3 linked regions of the Arabidopsis thaliana genome follow. The protein of the gene in region 3 interacts with the protein of the main gene of each other region in a pairwise test. Each region holds a gene or a part of one and is shown on either strand. Other genes may lie near its edges. The genes, in order: MBD1, IAA20 and MIF2.

The links.
Region 1: the proteins of MIF2 (region 3) and MBD1 interact in binary tests that used the Arabidopsis thaliana proteins (3 or more experiments, as listed by UniProt).
Region 2: the proteins of MIF2 (region 3) and IAA20 interact in binary tests that used the Arabidopsis thaliana proteins (3 or more experiments, as listed by UniProt).

Annotation. Positions count from the first base shown.
Region 1 is NC_003075.7:11,946,584-11,950,352, forward strand, and holds MBD1 (methyl-CPG-binding domain 1), read right to left. Parts: upstream 2,222-3,769; 5' UTR 2,059-2,221; intron 1,937-2,058; 5' UTR 1,932-1,936; coding exon 1,812-1,931; intron 1,333-1,811; coding exon 838-1,332; 3' UTR 627-837; downstream 1-626. Other genes in the region: AT4G22750 (DHHC-type zinc finger protein), read right to left, coding at 2,783-2,917, 3,052-3,114, 3,219-3,304, 3,402-3,531, 3,637-3,728. UniProt on the Arabidopsis thaliana protein: Probable transcriptional regulator.
Region 2 is NC_003071.7:19,305,583-19,309,571, reverse strand, and holds IAA20 (indole-3-acetic acid inducible 20), read right to left. Parts: upstream 1,859-3,989; 5' UTR 1,712-1,858; coding exon 1,339-1,711; intron 969-1,338; coding exon 872-968; coding exon of another isoform or gene 868-871; exon of another isoform or gene 761-867; coding exon 703-760; 3' UTR 501-702; downstream 1-500. Other genes in the region: AT2G46995 (uncharacterized protein), read left to right, coding at 1-104.
Region 3 is NC_003074.8:10,923,055-10,926,322, reverse strand, and holds MIF2 (mini zinc finger 2), read right to left. Parts: upstream 1,616-3,268; 5' UTR 1,310-1,615; coding exon 1,007-1,309; 3' UTR 510-1,006; downstream 1-509. UniProt on the Arabidopsis thaliana protein: Inhibits zinc finger homeodomain (ZHD) transcription factors by interacting with them to prevent both their nuclear localization and their DNA-binding properties.

The sequences.
Region 1 (3,769 bases), on a different chromosome or scaffold from region 3:
AAAAGCTCACAAGCAGTCTTCGAGGCAAATGTAAATCGCGAAAAAGGACCCCAAATACGACGAATAACAAGAAGAAAAAATCACATATAAGAATCAAAAATTGTAGCCATGTAATCTTCATCCTAAAGAGTCTAAATTTAGAACTTTGCATGCCCACAAAAGGTTAGCCTTTACATACCAAGTAAGACCACATGAGAAAACTGCTTATTCAACTAAACCAAGGAGTAAGGACGGTGGAAGGAGCAACCTAAACTTCTAATAAACGGTAGACTCCAGATACAAACAAAAACTAATGAAACATACACAAAACCTTGAGAAAGGACTAGCTTCAAGGGCTGGTCAGAAAACCCAAGAGCGGAAACATACATAAAGTTATGTTGTGAGTCTTCTTTTTGAAAATCCCAAATATGCAATCATTGTTTAAGGCTTCTTTTCATAAAGCTCTCAGTCCCAAGAGGTTATGACCAATACTCAATGTTGAATGGGATAAATAGCCCATAAGCGAGGACTTGCACACCGCACGCTATAGCAGAGGGTGCGCTTGGAGTAGAAGAAGTTGTACACATGCTGCTTGAATATACTTTGTCGTGTTTGTTTGTACACACTGAGTGAAAACCAGAGCGATTCATGTAGTTGTGACTTGTGACATAACAAAAAGAGAAGAAAAGATAATCCTTCATTAGAAAATAAAGATCCAATCAGAGTCAAAGAGATGAGTTTAAGAAACATTCTACAGTAAGAAGTCCGACACCCTTAAAAGACTAAACCAGATAGAAACCTAAAACTGACTCCAATAACAACTTCAACACCATAAGAAGCTGGGAAGCGCTATGTAGCTCAATCAATTGTAACTTTCCTTGATGGCTTGGGGGTCCTGTCAGATAATATCCCACTAGGAACCGTCTCTTCCATCACCTTTGGGACTGTGAAATTGAAATCTCCAAGCAGTGCATACTTGTAATCCTGATTGGCATCGATGAAGGCTGCGATTTCATTACGAGACTTGAGCTTCTTCCCAGTAGGAGTTATGTAGTACGCATCCATTTTCGAGTAATCCTTTCTCAGAATTAAGCTCCTTTTGAACCCTCTTGGTGTCCTCGGCAAGCCAGGCTTGTCGATGACCCATGTTCTGGAGGAATCATAGTTTAGATCTCCAACATCTTCACAGGACACACCTTCTTTCGTCTTGCAAAAAAACGGGTCCTCTTGTACTCTACTTCTGATATCTTCATACTCATCTTGAGTATCAATCTTCCTCCACTTCATGCACTTCTCACACTGCACAGCAAAGACATCTATCGACCTCCCTGGAGTACCGGCTTTTTTCTGCACCTGCACAATACAAATATGGAATCTCGGTGAAAAGAAGAACAGTCACTCACAAGCTACTTGGATCAACAGAATCATACTACAAATCGTTTAATATATAGCAAGATGAGAAAACATGCGTAGAGAAACACAAAAGTCAAAACAGGGACACCACCAAAAGAGTGATACTGAGAACATGCAGAATCAAAAACCAAATTTGAAGAAAAGGGTCACTGCGAAACCTTAAATAGCATAAATATTGATTAAATTTTATACATAACTGATCAGCCAAAGACACAACGAGAAATAAAGTTATAACCTTTATGTCTGCATCAGTTCGTCAAATAACACTAGTAACTAAGTCTTCGAAACTGGTTGAAAAAAAACCTTAAGATTCTCAACTAAAACCCTAATTAAGAGATAGAATTCAATGATAAGATCTGTGTGGTAAAGAGAGACCACAAAGCAAAATTGAAACCGGGTTTAGGTTTAGTGAGGTTTACCTTAATGGTTGTTGGTTCAGCTGATTTCTCAGTCTGCTCCTCAATCTTACTTCCAGATGAAGCAACTGATGAGTTTTCCGATCGAGACTTCTTCAAGTTCATTGCCGGAAATGGTAACATTAAACCTTCAATTTCAAGCCCTAAACGATCAGTATAACGAAGCGAGAGAAAACTCCAAAATTGCGAAATTCAAGTACGAAATCGAATCAAAGAGCAGATTCAAGGAGAGTGATCCAAAAGTTCATACCTCGAACAACGATTCAGATTTCCAAAAATCTCAGAGCTCTTTGTTAGAGAATTTGAGAATTTTTCTTTGAACCCTTTTTAATGCAATGTTTTTTTTTGGCCAGCAGAAGAAGAAAAAATCTTCTCCAACTGTATTTACAGATGTCGAGATATGATTGGTTCAATGCGACACGCAGACCATTTCTGTAATTTTTAATGGATTTTCTACTAAACAGGGCATAATAATTAATTAAATTTCCAAGTGTTTGTTAAATGGTTGACTCTGGATTTTAAATATGTACATATTTGGCCAAAATTATATAGACCAGAAATTTAGTTTTTAAAAAAAATTATTTTAGTAAAAGTATTACATTATAAAATAACAATAAAACAAAAAAGGACAAAAATAATTATTTTTGATTCGATCAAAAACATACAGAAAGTATGTGGTACGTCAAATCTTTGATAGTTACAGTACATCATTCACGTGTCGTGATTTTTTTATTTTTTATGATAAATAACATGTTATTATTATCAATAGTGAAAAAATGAAAATGGTATATTTAAGCAAATGTGAAAATGGTATATTTAAGAAGTTTGAGAAATTTCTTTTCACGAAATAAAAAGATACAAATTCCACAATAGGCACTAATCTTTATAATACACAAGACAATGTTTGATATAATATTTGATTGATACATACACAAAGCAGAAGACACACTTCCAAAAATTTCAAGTTTGTAAGGTCATAGAGACTGAAGCGGCTCTGTCTCGGACTCCGACCTGCTCGTAAAGTCTAACCCTCCAAGTGCTGGCAACTTCTTCTTATCGTCTTCCGTGTACAATGGCACGAACCAATACATTTTATCACTTCCAAAAACCTGATTCAACAAAGGAATAGAGACCAAACTTTTTAAAGCTTTCATTGTGTTCGATGTCAAAGATATTATCTAAGTAGCGGGGAAACGAATCAGTCACTGAAGAACGAGTGAAACAAAGAAGATGGAGAGCGAACCTGTTCAAAGTTTGTCTTACGACCAACGTTGTATGGCCAGTTCACTGTATGCTTCTCATACGCCTGAGATTAAAGAAACCATTAGTTTGGTCAGTGAGTTTATTGACATGGAGATTCCTGAGAGAACCCAAGTTAAGAGCAAAACCAAGTGAGAGTTGTTGCTTTACCTCAATAGTTGTGGTGTTACGAGCGACCAACATTATGTGCATTATTAGGAAGCCTAGGACACTTAGGGCAAATGCTATGTTCAATACTGGAAAGCAAGAGAGTGAAGTTTTTGAATCAGATGGTAACGTTAAGGTGTTCTGAAACAAAAACGGAAACTGAGATTTCTATATCTTTGAACTCACCAAATGCAACAAAGCTGGCTGCTAGGCTTCCTGGTGATACGGTTATATCACCATCTCCATCGCTGAAGAATACGAGGAAAATTGGCAATAGTGATACTGCAACCACCGTTGTCTCAAGAAATGTGTAAAACTGCATTTTTGAGATATTGGGAATGGATTATGATCATGGCAACATTAATGAACAGAACATATCAAAAACAACTTCGTTCAGCGATGCTATGATAAGTTGACATACCAAGAATAGGAGAAATGATTTGTAGTTATTTGCACCAACACAATTCACCACCCAAACACAGTGATGGTCCATCTTTAGTATGCATCTTCCACCTGAAAACCCAATATGACAACTTTTTCACTACTAAAAAACA
Region 2 (3,989 bases), on a different chromosome or scaffold from region 3:
TAGAAGCGATTTGCTCCGTCTCGGTCTCTGTTTTGCTTGATCCGGAAGCTATGATTGGAATAAACAGAAACCCTATATTTTGCGTAAGCCGAATACTTTTGTGAGTTTTAAGTTGCATTATTTATAGATGGGATCGAACTTGGGCTTAATCAAAGGAGAAGGCCCATTTATTTCCAAAACACAAAGTAGGAAATATCAGGTGGGAATTTGTTGTTTCCCCTGCCTCCTTCCTTGTATATATCAAATGTACATTGTGGTCAAATCGATAATCAAATCCAAAAATTCTTCGAAAATTTAGAAGTTGTCTCTCGACATTAATTTGTCGCTTGGTTTTCTTGACTACTAGTATTTTCTGAAACTGGACTACATCCTATTTGACAAACAAAAGAAAGTACATCCTATAATTTTATTTATAAAAGCATTCAACTAATTATATAAATTCAAATATCCAATGACCAATGGTCTGACTGGTTTAATGCACTGAAACATGATTGTCGATCGGATAATTGTTTTTTCCTTTTTTTACTATTTTTTTGTGTACTACCGAGAATAATCAGAGTGAGTTCAAGATTTATGTACTATCTATCACAAAAGAAAAATGAAAATAATATTATAAATATCCGACCATTGATTTACATCAGGCAAAAACTTTTTTCTTGGCATTACTTCGATTTAAACACAACAAGTACGTAGACTTATATATCAGTAGTGGTAATTAGCTCTTGAAATCTTCAGTCTTCTCACAGTAGACAAGAACATCCTGCAAAAAATCAACCCACAAATTAAAAATATATATAAGGATGATCATATAGTTAATTTTCTGCATAATTAACAATCTAATTATACAAAAAAGGATGAAAAGAGTGCTTACTCCCAAGGAACATCTCCAACCATCATCCAGTCACCTTCCTTATCTGCGTACGTTAGCACGTGACTCTTCTCATTGCACATGTCTTCTTCTTCAGCCCCTATATATTTCCATTTTTTCAATTCCCATCAGTTTTCATCATTTTTACAATTTACCCATTACACAGTACTTACACACTGCGCAATATATAAACTCTACCTACGGAATAATAACTCTGACATATAACGTTATCCAGATTTTTTTTTTGACAAACAAACAAACAACCTATGAAATAGTGATGGGCGATTATTACGGCGATATTAACCTTCAAACAAAAGAATAGTAATGAGCGGAAGTATTTTTTCATTCCGTAAAAAAAAAAAAAAAATCAAAACGGACTTATAAGAAAGAAAAAAATATCGTTAGAAATTTGCTACCTCTAAGACATATAAATCATTCTGATATGACATTATGTATACATAGAAACTTACAGAGAATGGATGCGTTGAACATGAAATCAAGGGTTCTGATCAAGTCGCGGTAGCCATTAAGAGACATTAGATCGATCTTTCTTCCAATTGGAACTCCTTCCATGTTCACTTTCACGTAAAAGCTCCCTACACTGTTACACTCATTCTCTTCTTCCTCCTCCACAGCCGCCACATATTCCGCATCCTCTACCGCCGGAGCTGCAACGGAGTACCCATAGCCACCGTTGAAATATTGAGTCCCTGAGGATGTCCCGAAGCTGAGTCCGAGTCTCAGGTCCGTGCTTAGGTTTCGAGTACTTGACGAAGCACCGAATGGGTTGCTCTTGCTGCTACTCTCTATTGAAGAAGACGATGAACTTCTCCCTCTTCCCATATCTCTAGCTCTCTCTCTCTCTCTCTATCCTTTTTATAATAATTTTAGGTTAAGACAAATGAGTAATGAGCCGCCATGCTTGGTTTGTACGTGTGTGTTTATATAGAAGATAAAACTAGGACTTGTTTTTATTTTATTTTAAATTTGATATGGTCTTAATTCGTATTTTTGTTCAAAGTTCACACAAATAAAAAGCGACGGTGGAATGATGAGACAGCGTCCGCTAAAAATGTTGTTAGTGTAGCAGACCAAAACACGTGTCAAACGATGATTCGATCAAAGTGTTGGTTATGATTTTGTGGGTTCGGTTTCTCGCTAGTTAATGTTTGATATCTAACCCCAAAAAATAAATATATACATTTAGCTGTTTTGATGATATGAAGTAGTATTAAAGTTAATATTGAGAAATTACATCTTCTTAATCGTGTTCAATGCATGAAAGGTTATCGTGACGCGCATTGAGGCGTTTGTGGAACTACATTACTTCCCACATTTCCAAAATTAATGTGTTTTCATATGACCTCGATACAATTAACACTTTAATCAAACAAATTATTTTCGGAAAGTGTTTGGGTAAATGCTTGCTTAGTAATCGGATTAACACTTCTTTCTTAAGTTAATTAGGTATAGTTCTTTACTTCTGTTTAACAAAAGTTATGACGAAAGTTACGATGTGGAGTTGTGGACCCATCATATGTATGCAAGCATGACAAATGTTTGAGCCTACGATGATTCAAGTCCAAGTCATTATTAACCATAAAACAATGCGATTTAGTTCCACCAGATGATTTGAATAATCAAAACCCCCAATAAGTAAGTCTTAGACCGATTTTATTTCATGTAAAAAGAAGATAAATCTCATTTTTGTTTCTTTACAATTACGTTTATTCGAAGCTTAGACATAAAAAAAAATTAGTCAACTACTAAACAAGTTGTATCAGCGCTGCCATAATCGGTCTAAAACGGACTATTCCAAACCGGTAAAAAGTGCCTATATAATGATGTAAATCATACGTAATATATTTGCGAAAGAGAAGTTGTTAGACGTAATAATAACTAAATAAATAGAGAAAATTTGAAAATTGAAAAGAAAAAAAAAAGCGAAGGAAGAGAGGGGGCATGAGTAATGAATGGTTCACCTTAAAGAGAGGACCTAATGAGAGTTCCTTTGTCTATGGAACTTAAGGAGACGTCACATTTCTCATATTTGCAAGCACGAGAAAAAGGAAACACACACACTCACGACACAACGACCAACGACTATATTTCTTGTCATTACCCACGTGGCATTTTTGTTTCCACGTGGACTCCCTCAACCACAACATGTACATTGTACAATGGATGCGTGCCTTATGGTAAAATTATATAATTTCATTGAAAATATAATATAAGAATCAAATTTTAATGGATGTGTGCTTCGTGACGAAACTAATTTCATTTCAATTCATCAAACTTCGTTATTATAATTTCATCCTTCACAAAATAACACAACGTGCAAGCATAGTGTAGCTTGGTTTGGATTGAACCATGTAAGCAATTAGAGACATATACGCACTAGAGTTGAAACCGGCTTGGTTCCCTCGCTTAATTCAGGTTTCGATATTTCAGTTTGGAAAAAATGTACTAATTAGTTGGAACCAATTGAGTTTTAGAGAAATATTGAAGAAACAAAAAAAAAATCAAGAGAAAAAGGATAAAGGAGAGATGTTCCCTAACAACACTACAAATTACAATTTCCTCACTTTCTTATTTTCTTACTGCCTCCGCCTCCTCTCTGTCCCCTCTTTTCTTCCATTATTTTCATTTGCATCTTCTCTTTATTTCTTTGCAACTTTAATCTTATGATATGTAAATTGTAAATATACTCATTTTTTTCTATATTGAATAAAAAAACTTTTGTTAGAAAAAGATACACATATACGATATTTCCTCAAAAATAATATGAAGTACTGATTTTGGCAGTCATTATAGAATTGCATTTTATTGGAAAGATACACACATAGTTCAAGTACTTTATATATGCGCTAATTTTGAGAACTCCACTTTACTGCGTCGTGGTTGCTTGTCAGTCAAAACTTGGGCTTGCTTTTAAGATGCGTGATTGCATTTGCATGTCTCGTGGCTTTCTTTTTCTGTAGCCCCTCTTGTTGGACTAATCATAGCCTTTTGTTTCCTCCCTTTGCTTTAACATTACTGAAATTATCGGATTGTTTCTTTCATTTGTTGATTGGATGTATGTTTACATTATTACATGTGTATTCATTGTTATAATATACAA
Region 3 (3,268 bases):
TTTGCCTATCTTTTATCCTCTGAAATAAAATTTGAAAAATCTCTCTTAAAGCTAAAAGGTTATAGAATATTTTAATATATACTATTTTTAATTAAAAGCTGGGAAGGCATATATCCCTGAAAATATTGGTTCTCATCATAGCATAATTAAGAAATCTGAGCTTAAATAATCTAATCGGTCTCGAGTTAACATGCCCTTCACATAAATCTGAGCTTTATGCACTTCACATAAAGCTAAATATTTTAAGATAAATCATGGAAAATAGTGTGAGACTTAACTCCACCATTTATATTTTTTAAAAATAAAGCTATAGGAGTGGTCTCAAAGGGATCAATTTAAACCTTTTTTCATCGCCTCCCAAAAAAAATATTTACTACAATCATTAGTGATTTATTTATACTAATATATACATATATATATATATATAATTAATTAAATTAGTTATTGAGATAATCAATAAATGGGTTACTATATTCAGCTACCTTATCACAAGCGAAGAACCTTCCATATATGTTAAGGAACAATCAATCTCATTCATTCATTTATCAGTAAATACACATATTGATTTTGTAACAAATTCCTTTCACAATACACTTAACAATTGTCTTGAGTGGACGACATTGAATTGAAACACGAGTACACCACACATGCTTCGTCAGCTTCGACAAAATAATCAAAATAGATCAAAATACAATAACATGACCCAACCAGAATACAAATCAAACAATATAATACATGAAAAACAACAATAATCTTAATATTTCACTTCAGAAGCCTAACCTTTTCTGAACATTCTCAAACCCCAAAAGCATCCAATTATTATAAATCTTTCAATGCTTCCACCACCTTCAATCTATAAATCTCTTATAGTTTCTTCTTAAATTCACAAAGAAACACAAGCCTTTCATATTAAAGAAGAAAAAAAAGCAAATAAAATATTTTCAGTTTCATCATCTGTATATGTAACACACAAACACACTCATAGCTAGCTCTAGATTTTTCTTATCTAATTTCCAGTAGAAGGAGGTGAATTACAGTCGCAAACAACCTCGGTTTCTATTTCTCTCCGATGGAAACTGCGATGGCAGCCACAGGCGGCGCACGTTAGCGCTGCCACGGTACCTTCCTCTCCTCGGCTTGCCATGAACTCACGGCAGCCGTCAACAGCGTAACCTCCCACCGCCGCAGCGTGGTTCTTCTGACATTCTCCGTACCTCACAGTTCTCACTGTCAGAGACGAAGCCGTCGACGAGCTTCTAGAAGGTTCCTCTGGCGAGGCTCTCCTCAACACCACCTGACGCTTCCTCATGCTTTCTCACTTCAATTCTCGTCTCAGCTCTTTCTTCTTCTTGACTTTTTTTTATGAAATCTAAACTTGTAATAATGTATATATATTAAAGAGGAAGAGAAAAATGTATAATAAAGTTTTTGTTCTTTTACTTTAATTTCTACGGCTCGAAATAGTTAGGGAGTGAAAGATCAAAACAATTACAAGAGGACCTCGGTTGTTAACCCTAACCCTAGATGTGATATTTATAGCATTTCTGATAGCAATCGACAACCAAACCTTAGATATTTTTCTTGCAACTGCATATATATATATATATATATATGTGTGTGTGTGTAGATGTACATGTCATGGTATAGATTGATGCATCATCACAACCAATCAGACCTACTAAGCTAATCTACCAGAATTTTGTTTTTGATGGGTATATCATATATGTATATCTGTCTTTTGTAATTAAATGACCACAACTATGCATTGAATTATAATTACAAGTTTTGTTTTCTTGTTACCAACCTAAATATGGTGGATGTTTTCTTTTTGGCTCATGTTATACAAAATTCAGATTATGTTTAAAGTATCGTAATTTTTGTTTTTGGAATACTAAGACACTTTAATATTGCAATAATGCGTACTAGTACTTGTCTCATCCGGTTAGAAGAAATTGAATAAGTTTATGCTGAATCGAAATTGGAATCTACTGATCTCCAGTTAAGAAAGAGATTATATTTGTCATCGTTCTGATTTTTGATCCGAATGGACGGACCAAAATGTCATAACTCCAGAGATACAAAAACAAAACATTCACGAGACATGGAGCCACCACTTTGTGAGTTAGGCACCCGTCTTTAGTTGATAATATCACCCTTATACATTGTATTTGGATCTTCCAAACTTCTGCTAGATTCCACTTTCGCAGAATACGTACTCTTACATTCCAACAAATATATATTGTGCGCTAACTAGTAACCATAACCATAAGCCATAGAATAAAATGAAGTGGATGAAGAATTACAACCTGCAACAGTAAATATATTACGACAAAAATTAAATTATGTGTGGAAGTTTGTGGATGCAACTTTTGTTCGATTTATTTTGCGAGAAAACCCTAAAATGATGAGAAAGCTTTTCTTTAAGACCAAACAAAGTGATTGGTTTTAAAAGGAAGGAAACAGCTAAGCTTGTCTTTTTAAGACCTAATATGTACTGTGGTGGCCCCCTTTAACATTCATCCTCTTTAATCCTCTTTTTATTTCCTTCTTTCATTCTATTTTATTTCATAATTAGACAGGTGGTTACGAAAATTATTTATACGTATCATAAAGAATCGAACTTGGTATCGAGATCGAATATATATGCATAGACCAAAAAGTGATTATGTCGGCTATGTGATATCTTGACCCACTTCTATAGTATACCCGAGGAATTGTACGGATTTAAATAAAAAAAATCAATTTTCGTTGTAATCTAAGTACCAATCAATATATTTAAGATTGTATGATGAATAGTCATGAACAAAAATAGAAGTGTGTATAAATGTATATACATTTGGACCTAACAACGTGGGACTGATAAGTTGGGCTACCAAACCTATTTTGTACATCATGAGGACAACGCAATCCTTCACGATCGCTTGCTCCTTTGCAGTTACGTATCGATTTTTTTGAATTACACATGCATACATTCATTCGTTTTTCGGTTAGACATCAAATTTTCTTATTCATGTGTTCCGTCAATCCTTTGATATTTTTATAAGAAATACATTGATATTTTCTCCTTCCAAATTAGATATAAACATAAATCATGAGATGGTATATAACAATAATTGCATAACCAAACGTTGTTGGTACTTTATAATATATATTTAAAAAAAAAAAAAAACTGTTGTAGTTTCATTGTTCCACACTAAACGTTGTTTCATGAGATTAACATCGGCTGAAAAAAAAAAAAAGTTTCTCTCCCAGGCACGAGTTTCGAGGT